3 linked regions of the Ovis aries genome follow. The protein of the gene in region 2 purifies or fractionates together with the protein of the main gene of each other region. This does not show direct contact. Links are inferred from orthologs where the notes say so. Each region holds a gene or a part of one and is shown on either strand. Other genes may lie near its edges.

The links.
Region 1: the proteins of LYN (region 2) and PLCG2 purify together in Homo sapiens (affinity purification with western blotting; 3 studies listed by BioGRID, with this or other methods). This does not show direct contact. The link is inferred for Ovis aries from reciprocal best matches to the Homo sapiens genes LYN and PLCG2.
Region 3: the proteins of LYN (region 2) and ANKRD54 purify together in Homo sapiens (affinity purification with mass spectrometry; 3 studies listed by BioGRID and IntAct, with this or other methods). This does not show direct contact. The link is inferred for Ovis aries from reciprocal best matches to the Homo sapiens genes LYN and ANKRD54.

What each region holds. Positions count from the first base shown.
Region 1 is NC_056067.1:7,912,662-7,916,305, reverse strand, and holds part of PLCG2 (1-phosphatidylinositol 4,5-bisphosphate phosphodiesterase gamma-2), read right to left. Parts: intron 3,011-3,644; coding exon 2,891-3,010; intron 1,769-2,890; coding exon 1,588-1,768; intron 46-1,587; coding exon 1-45. UniProt on the Homo sapiens protein: The production of the second messenger molecules diacylglycerol (DAG) and inositol 1,4,5-trisphosphate (IP3) is mediated by activated phosphatidylinositol-specific phospholipase C enzymes. It is a crucial enzyme in transmembrane signaling.
Region 2 is NC_056062.1:36,186,007-36,190,121, forward strand, and holds the start of LYN (tyrosine-protein kinase Lyn), read left to right. Parts: upstream 1-1,280; coding exon 1,281-1,349; coding exon of another isoform or gene 1,350-1,412; intron 1,413-4,115. UniProt on the Homo sapiens protein: Non-receptor tyrosine-protein kinase that transmits signals from cell surface receptors and plays an important role in the regulation of innate and adaptive immune responses, hematopoiesis, responses to growth factors and cytokines, integrin signaling, but also responses to DNA damage and genotoxic agents.
Region 3 is NC_056056.1:215,480,176-215,484,332, forward strand, and holds the start of ANKRD54 (ankyrin repeat domain-containing protein 54), read right to left. Parts: upstream 2,919-4,157; 5' UTR 2,820-2,918; coding exon 2,495-2,819; intron 650-2,494; coding exon 602-649; intron 1-601. UniProt on the Homo sapiens protein: Plays an important role in regulating intracellular signaling events associated with erythroid terminal differentiation.

The sequences.
Region 1 (3,644 bases), on a different chromosome or scaffold from region 2:
CACATACATCCTGCTGACATCATAGAGGGAGTTTATATCTCTTTCCTGTAAAAGAAGAGAGAAAAATAAATAGAGTCATTCAAGCTCCCGGGACAGCCCTAACTTGGAACAAGGATTCTACGCATCCTCATGGTCTCCTGCCTTCTAGTAGAAGAGCTGAAACCTCAGTTTATTCACCTTGTAGGCAGAGCCAGTAAGAAGCTATTAAGAAATTCCCCAAAACTTGGAAATCTTACCCCAGGATCAGAGAGGCCCCAACACGGGCCTACCGCATGCCAGGCACCATCCTCCTTTGTCCAAACACGAGCCCTGCAAGGCACTGGTGTCCTGGGGCGAGCTCACCACTCTCCTGACCCACGCTCAATGTCGGCAGCTTGAAACGCCACCGCGGGAGTGCTCAAGGCACAGAAACTGGCAAACGCCACAGAGCGGGGCTTCTCTCCGCAGAGCGGGTAGACCTTCACCAGCGCACACTGGAGACCCCTCCTGCCCCTCCCCGGCCCCCCACTGGGCTGCACCCCCACCCCACATTGTGGTCCTGCGCCCGCCTGCCCCCTACCTGGAACCCACCACAGCTCCCCAGCCGCTCCGCCCCCCGGCTGCCTTCCCACCCTCTGCAGGAGACCCGCTCCCAGCTCCCGGCCCCAGTCTAACACAGTGCCCACCCCACAGCGCCCCATCCTGTTCTCGTCTTCACTGTAACTCGCCCTGCCCGGGGCACCTTTCTAGAACCTGAATGTGCCAAGGGCTAACGGTGCTCCGCCAAGCTCTCCCAGCATCTACACTCGGCTCCTGATAGTGCAGTCAGCCTCCTTCCAACAACGTACTGAATCTGGCTGAGAGGAGCTGGGACACGATAATCAGACTGGCCCCCTTCACCGCTCAGAGTCCCCCAGTGGGGACTTCCCTGGTGGTCCAGATACCACTTCCACCACAGGGGCTGCAGGTCTGATCCCTGGTCAGGGAACTAAGATCCTTCATGCTGCATGGCATGGCCCCCCAAAAAAAGACAAACCCTCCAATGGCTCAGAATAAAAGCCGCTGTGTGTGGCCCCACTCCATGCAGCTCCATCCTTATTTAGGTCTGCCCCAACCCTGGACCACTTAGGTCCAGCCATACCAGCTTCTCCTCTTTGCCTCCTTGCATGCTCTCACCTCAGGACCTTTGCACTGACTGTTCTTTCTTCCTCCTCACAGCTGCAAGCTGTCTCCTCCACTTCTGGAGTGTCTGCCCACGTCTCCTAGTCAGCAAGCCCCTCCCGAGCACCCCTGAGAACTGCAGCCCCTTCCCCATCATCTACCCACTTATCCACCTGCCTCAGCATGTCTGTAACACTGGCTCAGTGTCTGTCTTATCATCCTATCAGCTGACACGTGCTCTGACAGTTCTTCATTTCGTGTGTCGTCTGTCTCACCCACACTGGACTGTAAGAGCACAGGGGCAGAGTCTGAGTCCACTCTGCAGTTTTGGACCCAGAGCCGTGTGGGACACACGTACGTGCTCAATAAAGGTTTGCTGAATGAACCAACAGGTGAATCGTAACCTCAGACAGTGTCCGCCGCATCCCGGGCGGGTCAGCCACCCACCATGTTGTAGCGCTCCAGGAGCTCGGGGGTCACGGGGTAGCGCAGCTTCATCTTCCGGTAGAGCGCGTGTTTCTCGTAGTAGCTGACCAGCTCCACGAGGCTCTCAAAGTAGGCGGAGGTGCCCAGCACGAAGTGCCGGCCGTCTCGGTTGATACGACAGTGCTTCACCTTGCCCCTGGCCCTGGGGGGAGAGTACACGGGGCTGACGTCCCACAGCCGGGTGACAGCCACACCAGCCCAGGAACCACAGACAGCCCGGTCCCCCGTCCTAGGGCACCAGACAGACAGACGTGGCGGGACTTCCCTGGCACCCATTGGCAAGCTCCACACTTCCAACGCAAGGCGCACAGGTTTGATCCCTGGTCAGGCAACCAAGATCCCACATGCCATGCAGTGAGGTCAAAAGAGTATTGGAAGGGACTTCCCTGGCGGCTCAGCAGCTAAGACTCTGCACCCCCAATGCAGACACCCTGAGCTCAATTCCTGGTCAGGGAACTAGATCCCACATACTGCAACTAAGACTTGGCAAAGCTAAATAAATGAATAAATATTTTTAAAGTATTTGAAAAAATATTAATTGAAAAATAAATAAATGAAAATAAATAGGTGAGGCCCTGAAGGCAGCCCAGTGTCCGGAACATCACCTGGGAACCCGGTCTTTGGCACCCAGTACTCCACTACCATCACCAAGAACACGCAGGGGAGCCCTGCAGATGGGGACATGGAGGGGCAGTTTGATGAATGGGGTCTGACCCTCCCTCATACTGCTTTCGGTGGAAACTGGAGGACTCAGGTGTCTTGGGGTAGAATTAACACAGAGAGCCACAGCCCTGAGATGGCTGGTCCACATGGCCTGCCCACTGGCAGTCAGTGGCAACGGCGGATGGGAGGAGACCGGAACTGCATCACCCATCTGGGTTGCCAGCACTGCTGGGGTGCAAACTCCACCTCCACCACTAATGGGCTACATGTTTTCAGCAGGTCGTTCCATCACCCTGGCCTCAGTTTCCTCCTCCAAAAAGCAGGGGTATGGGTCACGCTCACCCCAGAGTTTTGGGAGGATTAAATGAATTCATGTAAACCACATTACTCTCGGGAGTACAGAGCAGTGCCTGGCATGCTGAAAGCACACGTCAGCATCTGCTTTTGCTATCATTGTTACTATTACTGTCCCCATCACAGCTGACACTCTGGACAGAGGACACTGGGCTCAGCACCCACCTGCAGTTCCTGCTTTCTTCTCCCACCTGCCCTGCCCAGGCGCCTCCGCAGAGTGAGAAGTGGCTGCAGCTCAGATACTTACCTGAAGGTGATGGCGTAGGAGTCAGTACCTTCCCGCTTCCGGATCAGGAAGGCCCCGTCCCGGGGGACCCTCATCAGCATGTCCTCCGCTTCTCCGCGGCTCAGCCCATCGTAGTACCACCTGCAGCACAGGCCCAGGGCAATGGTCAGGGGAGAGGCCGCTAAGACTGGCAGCAGAGGAGGACGTGGTGGGTCCCTGGGAGGCCTGAAATACAACCCTGGAGCCCACCACGGAAATCACGCAGCAGGCCTCCCCACCCAAAATCCCCTCTAGAGACGGCAACTTTGAAAACAATCACCCAGACACAGCTCGGGTGAAGCATTTGTGTAGGGAGTCTGCTTGGAGCACGAGAGAATAAATCAACTTAAATCTTCAACCCCCTCCCAGACCACTGACCCAAGCATCAGAGCGTGACACAGCCCTGCAGTGTCTCAGAAAACCAGAGGCAGAAAACACACAGAACGGGGTTTTAGAGGGGTTGGGAGTTAATTTTAAAGATGCAAAATGGCAAATTTTAAGGCCATCCACTTGAATACAGACAAGAAAAGTAAAAATCAAAGTTGTCACAGCTATATGGCTTCCTCAGAAAGGTGCACTTGAGCAGGCTTCTGCTTAAAAATTACTCTTTTCTTTCCAGAACTAGTTAACCCTTTGCAAGGCCTAACCAATATTCTCTTTACAATTGGTTTTTTGTTTTTGTTTTTGTTTTTTGTTTTTTTCGCTTTGAAATCAACAGGAATGAGCTCTGACAAGT
Region 2 (4,115 bases):
CCACCCCACTGTGCCCCTGGAGAACTTCCTGGACTGTGTCCAGGGAATCTGCTCTGTGAACCTAGGCGATTCTTGTGTGCCTTTAGGTTCGGGAACACCACCCTCCCGAACCTTGTAGTGGAGTGCATACAGATTTTGTTTTGTATTTAATGTATAAATTTGACCATGAGGCTGTGCTGTGAGGAATAGTCATATCCAATTTCAGTTTTAAAGTCGCCTTTAGATCTAAGTTCCCAGTTTGCTTTGGGTGGCACTCTGCACATCCTAGTATAACTGAATAGACAGAAAAGAGTTTAGCCTTTAGAAGGGTGGTTCCGTCTGTCTCACTGGTTGTGCTCAAGCCCCCTTCTGTCGAGGTGTCTCTCCTGAAGCCTTAAGCTGGCTGGCGGCACCCTCTGTGCCTCTGGCTCTGACATCTCTCCTGTTTTCCACACTCACACGTCTCACTGGGACGTCTACAGATGTGATCGTGTGGGTGTTCCTACAAGCATCTATTCTCCGTACCTGTGTCTCCTCTTTGATTTCCAGTCTCCGTGAAGGCCACCACCATTGTCCCAGGCCCCAAACCACATAAGGTTGGAGCCACCCTTTATGCTTCCTGGCTCTTCCTCATGTTTGCCTTTGAAGCCCCAGGTCCCCTCACTTCACCTTGCACAGTGACACTTGTCTTCAGCCATGCCTCCCCCTCCAGCCCAACTCTTGGACTTCCCTACTTGTTCCCTGAAGGGTTTGACTTGAACTAGTTCCCTGAAGGGGCCGTGTTCCCGGGGCCCATACTTTGCATGTGAAGTTGTCTCTTCCTGGAATCCCTTTACTGACTCTGCCACGTAGCTGACATCACTCCCATTCTGACTCGAAGCGTTTCCATCAGGACACTTCCCCTGCCCACATCCTTTTCCTCTTGCCTGAGGTCAGTGTCCTTTCCTGTGTCCTGTGCATCCTCTGTCGTTGACCTGCCACGTCACATTGTTGTTTTAATTCACACATCTTCACCACAAGAACAGGAGCGTCTGTAGGGCAGGAATTCATGCTGACGTAAAATCGATGCTCAATAAATGGTTGTTGAATGAATGAGTGAACAGATTATGAACAAGCACCTGGCTTGTGAACGGTCTTCACCTCTTTGACTTGGTTAAATCATCAGCGATGAAGACTAGAAGTGTGCTTGCTGTTGTTGAGTCGCTGTTACCTTCTCTCTATTAATGGAGAAGCTTCGGTGGCTGGAAGCCAGTTCTGGAATGGTAAAACGATGCCGTTGCTTTTGTATTCCAACAGGAACTATGGGATGTATAAAGTCAAAAAGGAAAGACAATCTGAATGACGATGGAGTAGATTTGAAGACGCAACCAGTACGTAATACTGACCGAACTATTTATGTGAGAGATCCAACGTCCAATAAACACCAAAGGCCAGTAAGTAGATAGTCTCAGGGGAGCGTTCCCACGGCAGGATCAAAACATGGCTGCGTAATTTAAACTCCAAATCTGTACCATGTGCATGCCAAAAAAAAAAAAAAAATCATGTTAATTACTTGGGCCTCAAATAATTTTTGATATACTTTGTAACTTAATCCTTTAAAGAGTTTATAAATATATTCGAGACAACCAGGTCACTTAATGTACAATAAAGGGGCCTTTGGTCACCTTCTTATGTGTGGCGATTATCACCTTTCCTGTCACTGGTACAAATACCCTCTCTTTATATGTAAAGACACGTATACGAGCTTGTGTGACTTAGGATGGGCAATAAGATTAGTGGTCTGGAAGCAGAAGGAAATGCTGAATTCTAGTCGGAAGCCAAAATAGGTGCTAATATGCCCTTTGGTAGATGTTGGTGTCGTTTAGTCACCCAGTCACGTCCAGCTCTTCTAGACCCCATGGACCATAGCCCACCAGGCTCCTCTGTCCATGAGATTTCCCAGGCAAAAATACCGGAGTGGGTTGCCATTTCCTTCTTCAGAGGATCTTCCTGACCCAGGGATCAAACCTGTGTCTCCCACGTTGGCAGGCATATTTTTTACCGCTAAGCCACCAGGGTAGCCATCATACTTTATCCCATCATGTTGTTCTTCAATTAATTCAAACTAGTATGAACACTGAAGTTGTCATGACTTATTATAGAGAATTAAAAGATTTAAGCCTTCTAACGTAGGACAAATATCTGTACCAGCATTTTTACATGATGGATGTGCTCTCTGATGTGTTTGAGAAATGCTTGGCAAAGAACTAATACCACATTTCATGGAAGAAAGGAACAGAGCTTTGGATAATTACAACCTTAAATGCACTTTACTTCAGATCTTAGGTCCTTTCTGTTTGCTCACTGTATATATGTACATCCCCCATTGCCTGGTTTTTATGGAAACCAGTGTTTCAGCGTTTAAGCTGAAAGCAGCTTATTCCACATGAGTCCAAATGCCTTCATTAAGAGTTTTCATTGTTTCTCTAATCTGACATGTTTTTAAATGCCTTGGCATTCTCGAAGTATACCATTGTTGTCACTCCCTGTACCAGCCCCCTCCCCCACGTTCGCCCTTATCCTGCAGGTATGGTGTGTGTCAAGGTCACATGTCATTGTTGAGATTGGTAAGTCGGTGTTGGCATTCTTGCAAAAAAGTAGAGATGAAAAGTGAGGACATTATGCTGTTAATTCCCTACATATTTCTAGACAGATAAATTAACATTAATTTAGGAACTTCCCTGGCAGTCCAGTTTTTAAGACTCTGTGCTTCCAATGCAGGGGGCAAGGGTTTGATCCCTGGCTGGGGAACTAAGATCCCATAGGCTGTGGTGCACAACCAAAAAAGAAATTTAAGAAAAACATTGTGGACTTCCCTGGTGGTCACTGGTTAAGAGTCCTCCTGCCAATGCAGGGAACATGGATTTGATACCCTGTCCAGAAGGACCCCCATGCCAAAGGGCAGTTAAGCCTGTGGGCCTAGAACCCGTGCTCAAGAGAAGCCGCTGCACTGAGAAGCCTGTATACTGCAGCTAGAGAGTAACCCCGTAACTAGAGAAAGCCCATGCACAGCAATGAAGACCCAGCACAGCCAAAAATAAAGAAAAAGATTTTTTAAATGTTGTAATTTTATAACAGAAACTCAAAATGTACAAGATTATTAATAAGTTTTATAATTTAGTTATAAATACCTATAAACATAATATTCAAAAAGACATCACATAAATAGGTATAGATGTGGAGCTATGCTATGGAAATATGACTAACAGAAAATGAAATGATACAAGGACTTGGAGTCACAGATAATTTTCTCGTTATAGACTTCAAAGGTGTCATAAAAAGGACCTGACTTTTTCTAGTGTCATGTGCTGTAGATTTTACATGGTTTACAATCCCCCATTTTTTGTTAATGTAATGAAAGAAGATGTCCTTCATTCAGAAAAGCAAAGGAGACCAGTACAAACTTACACACCATTTTTCCTCTTGCCAAGAGTAAAGGAGGTTAAAAGATAAGTTCGAAAGCAGAAGTAGGAAGCATGTTTGAAATCTCTCAGTTCCCTCATGCACCCCCGGAGCGCAGCACACTCCACCTTCTCTGGTCACAGGTGCCCTGGTTTGTAACTGGGCAGTTGGGCCTTATTCCATGGATAACATTCAGTTCCAGCCAGATGTGCCCGAAACACACCCCTGGATTGATTACAGGCTGTATTGTGTGACAGCAAGGCTGAACTGACACAAATTCAATAACACTCTAAGGAAAAGACATTTTAGAGAAGGAAAGTGGTGACAGATGAGGTCTATACATGTGTTTTGGCCTTCTGAAGAATGTGTTCAATCATTTGTCAATTAAGGACTCTTTGACATTTGAAAATCAGCTTGCTGCTCTCAAAATGATTTAATCAGTCTCTCATCTTCTAATTGTTTCCTCTAACTCCTTTAAAATTGATCATACATTCTAATTATGCAAATCTGAATGAGTTTAAAAATCAGTATAGAACTCCTTGAAATAAGTATTGAAAGATCATCCGGAGCCAAGAGTTTCTGAACCAGAAAAACGTAATCCCCTGCTCCCCGCCCCTGGAGATTTGATGGGCTGACTTCCATCAGAAATTTAAATTTCAGTACAAGCTGTTTTGGTTCATATTCCATTCAATCAC
Region 3 (4,157 bases), on a different chromosome or scaffold from region 2:
CTGATTCACAGAACGAATTAAGTCAGTGGATAAAATTAAATCTTTTTTTTTTCCTATAACTTGTCTTGTACCTTTGATGCTGCTACTGCCCTGTCAGCTAGTAAAGGATGAAGAGCAACAACAACAACAAAAAAACAGAGCCGTGTCCTGCTAGGAGCCCCACCCCTGCCTTTCAGATGTTCTGTCAACTGAAGTTTGAGAACCACGAACCCCACTACCACCAAGCCTCAGGGGAGCAGCTGAAGGGTTCTATGCAGATGGTGGCTCTCCTGCGGTTCAAGTTGACGACTCATTCCTTTTAGCCAGAAGTTCCCAAAAACTCCTACTCTGCAGCTGGGTGCCAGGGATACAAAAGCTCCCGCCGTGAGGGGGCTCACAGGGTAATAAACACTCTGACATCAGGAAGGAGTGGCAGGCAAGCATGGGAAGAGTAAGCATCTGAACGAGACTTGTCATCTGTAAGGTGACAGCAGTTATACAATAGATACAGTGGTCCCAGGGCTGAGCTGGCAGAATTCAGGCGCTGTCTTCCCAGGTACTGGTTACATGGACTTTTCCTTCCCTAACCAGACCATGGAGCGGACTCACTCTGCACACTCACCTGTTTCCACATCGTTGGCATTGGCTGAGTCCCTCAGCCTTTTCAGAGCTGTGAAGACAATAAGAGTGCCAGTTAAAAAAACAAACAAAAAAAAAACCCCAGCAACGGCCATGATGAAGCAGAAAGTAATGGCTTCCTGGGAACTTCTTGGCAGTCTAGTGGTTAAGGACCCATGCACTTCCACTGCTGGGGTCACGAGTTTGATCCCTGGTTGGGGAACTAAGATCCCGCGTGTCGCACAGCACTGCCAAATGGAAAAAAAAAAAAAAAAAAAGCATCTAAAAGGAAAGAGAGGTGCCAGGATACAACCAGGAGAAACCTGAAATGTGGCACAGCTCATGCAAAAGTCACATTTTGTAGCAAATCCTCCAAGGCCTTTGCAGCCAGATCTTGGCTCTGCCACTTGGTGACCTTGAACAAGTTAGTTAAGCCCCTGGGCTTCAGATCTATCAAGAACAAACAAGGTTGAGCTCTGTCCTGACAGTCCTGAGTTGTTGCAAAAATCAAATGAGATGATTTACAAAGCTCTTTGTGAGCTGATTACACATATAATCTTATATTCTCCTTCAAAACAGGCCTCTCCTAAATGGCATATTTAAATCTGATAATTCCCACACAGAAACTTTTTTCTCCACAATGACACTACCTCTATATTAGAGGGTAATAGAAAGCAATACTTTTATCATCAGAGAAATGGACAAAAATTACAACTCAGATATATAATGATTCCTTACATTCATATAGCACTTTCAAATTCTCAATCCTCATAACACCACTAAGATGAGTAGGTCCTAGAGGGAATCTAAAAGTCTCCATTCTTAAGTCTTTCAGGGTGTTGGTTTCCACGGCATCCATAAAATGTAAAAGACAATATGGAAGAAGTATCAGAGCAGGAGTTCTAATACCAGCACAACCAATTTCTACTGATGTGACTTAGAGCAAGACAATTTCTCCAAGCCTCAGTTTCATCTTCAGTAAAGTGGGAACGGGTATCTGGATCTTGATGAGTTATTATGAGGATCAAAAACCGTCACAGGGCTTCCCTGGTGGTCTAATGGTTAAGAATCTGCCTGCCAATACAGGGGACACGGGTTTGATCCCTGGTCCAGGAAGATCCCACATGCCTCTGAGCAACTAAGCTCATGCGCCACAACTATTGAACCTAAGTTCTAGAGCCCAGAAGCTGCAGTTACTGAAGCCTGTGTACCTAGAGCCCGTGCTCTGCAACAAGGGAAGCCACGGCGATGAGAAGCCTGGGAACCGGCAGCAAGGAACAGCCCCCACTCACCGTAACTAGAGAAAGCCTGCGCTCAGCAAAGACGGCCCAGCAGAGCCAAAAATAAATAAATAAATCTTAAAAAGAAAAGAAAATGACCACATTGTCACCCAACAGTGTCTGGCACACGTTGAAGGCCAAATATTGACTATACATTCCCTACTTTACCTAACTCTTGTCAACATTCCTGTAAAGCATACCATTCCCATTTTACAGATAAGAAAACTGCAACTGAAAGGATCTGTAGTTTGCCTAAGGCCACCATGAGCTAGAAAAGTCCAACCCAGGTCTGTCCATTTAAAGAAGCTGGTACGACTTGGCTCTGATACGAAAATATTCTCCACTACCCCATGTATTATCTACACCTGGGGCGAGGAATCCGTTTCTACTCAGCAACTACCCAATGTGAAAAGCCTCCGGGACTGTTTCTGAGCAGGAAGACTATTTTTTTCTTTTTTTTACACTCATGATTCTTAGCAGTCATACGACTACTATTCCTACTGGAAGGAGACTCAGGGGTCACTCCAGGTCCGTAGCGCAGATGTCGGAGGACTCCATCCTGAGCCGGCTGGGGAGATCAGCCGAGGGCCAGCCCCGCCTCCCGCCGCGCTCCTCACCGTGCACCTCCTTGCCAGTGGGCCCGAGCCGGCGGTGGGGCCTGGCGGCGCGCCTCAGCCTGCTCGCGGGGATTTTACAGCGCAGCTCATCGCGGGGCTCCGTGTCCTGCTGCCACAGGACGTGCAGGTAGCGCAGCGGGGACTGGGCCCCGCCGGACGCCCGGCCCGGGAGGCCCGCGCCGCCGCCCAGCGCAGACCCAAAGTCGGCGAAGGAGAAGAGGCCCTCGGGACCCGTCAGCGGCTCGGGCGCCACCGCGCACTCGCCGTCGGAGCTCGAGCGGCCCGAGCGCGACTCGTCGTCCGCGCCTCCGGCGGCGGCTGCCATGGCAACGGCTCCGCGCGGGCCTGGCCGCCGGCGGAGCCTCGTGCCTGGCGGACCAACGGACCCGCTTCCCTCCGCCCTAAAGGCTCGCTGTCAGCGGACGAGCTGGCGGGCCGGGCCTGCAACCACGGCAACCGGGTGGGGGGGCGGGCTCGGGGAGCGGGCGAGCGAGCGGGGCAGTTCCGGACCAATGAAAACCCTACCAGCCGCAATAGACTTGGTTTCCGGCAGTGTGACTGATGGGTATAAGAACCAATCACAAATTTGAGCTGCCCAATCCCCTCGCCGTACGTCCTTACCGGAGCCAATAAAATAGCTGAGTTTAAGACTTTTTTTTTTCTTATTTCTCCCGTCGGAGCAAAGAAAAGATAACGGGCAGATGCCCTAGCCAATCACGTTAAGATGATTTGCAGCCAATCACAAAGAAAAGTGAAGAAGCCGGAGAAAAGGAGAGGAAGAAAATGTTTAAATCAATGAACGTAAAAAAAACAAAGAACTTCCTACAAATACACAGTGTTAAGTAGGAAACGAGAATACGTTAAAATGTGGGGCTAGCAACACGAACCGTGTAGTAATAGCTTTTAAAGGCGACAAATTCCGTTCGTTCTCTCCGTAACCCTGGCGTTGATCACTAATTTACAAAGAAACGAATTCTGTAATTCAAGGACTTTCCTGCGGCTCAGACGTTAAAGAATATGCCTGCTATATAGGAGACCCGGGTTCGATCCCTGGATCGGGAAGATCCCCTGGAGAAGGAAATGGCAACCTACTCCAATATTCTTGCTTGGAAAACCCCATGGACAGATGAGTCTGGCGGGTTCCAGTCCATAGGGTCGCGAAGAGTCAGACACGACTGAGCGACTAACACTGTAACTCAACATCATTACACGAGAGTGATCAACATTTGAGTCCGAGAGGCAATCACTGAGCCAGCAAATTCTCTGTGCTAAGTCCCGGACACAGAATCAGACTGAGTACGCTCTGAGAGGCTCACGTCGGATGGGAGAAGTCAGAGCCGGAAACAAGGAAGTGTTCCGCAAACCGCTAACGGTGAGCTTAGCGACCTCTCCCAGGTACGAGGGGCTGAAACCAGAGAGATAACGGACTTGTTCACGGATGCCCAGCTCTCTTGAGAGGAAGACTGTCCCGGCAAAAGTTGTTCCTTGTTATTCAGCGCAGTGAAAATGTAATCTTTTTCTGACAGTTGAAAAGCACTTTCAGATTTTGCAGTGTTCTCAGAACACCACTGTAAAGTTTATCATTGTAACATATGGAGAAAAATGTTTCTTCTTCTTCTTCTTCTCCTCTGCCCATGAAGGAGAAGGGCATATGTCAACTTCA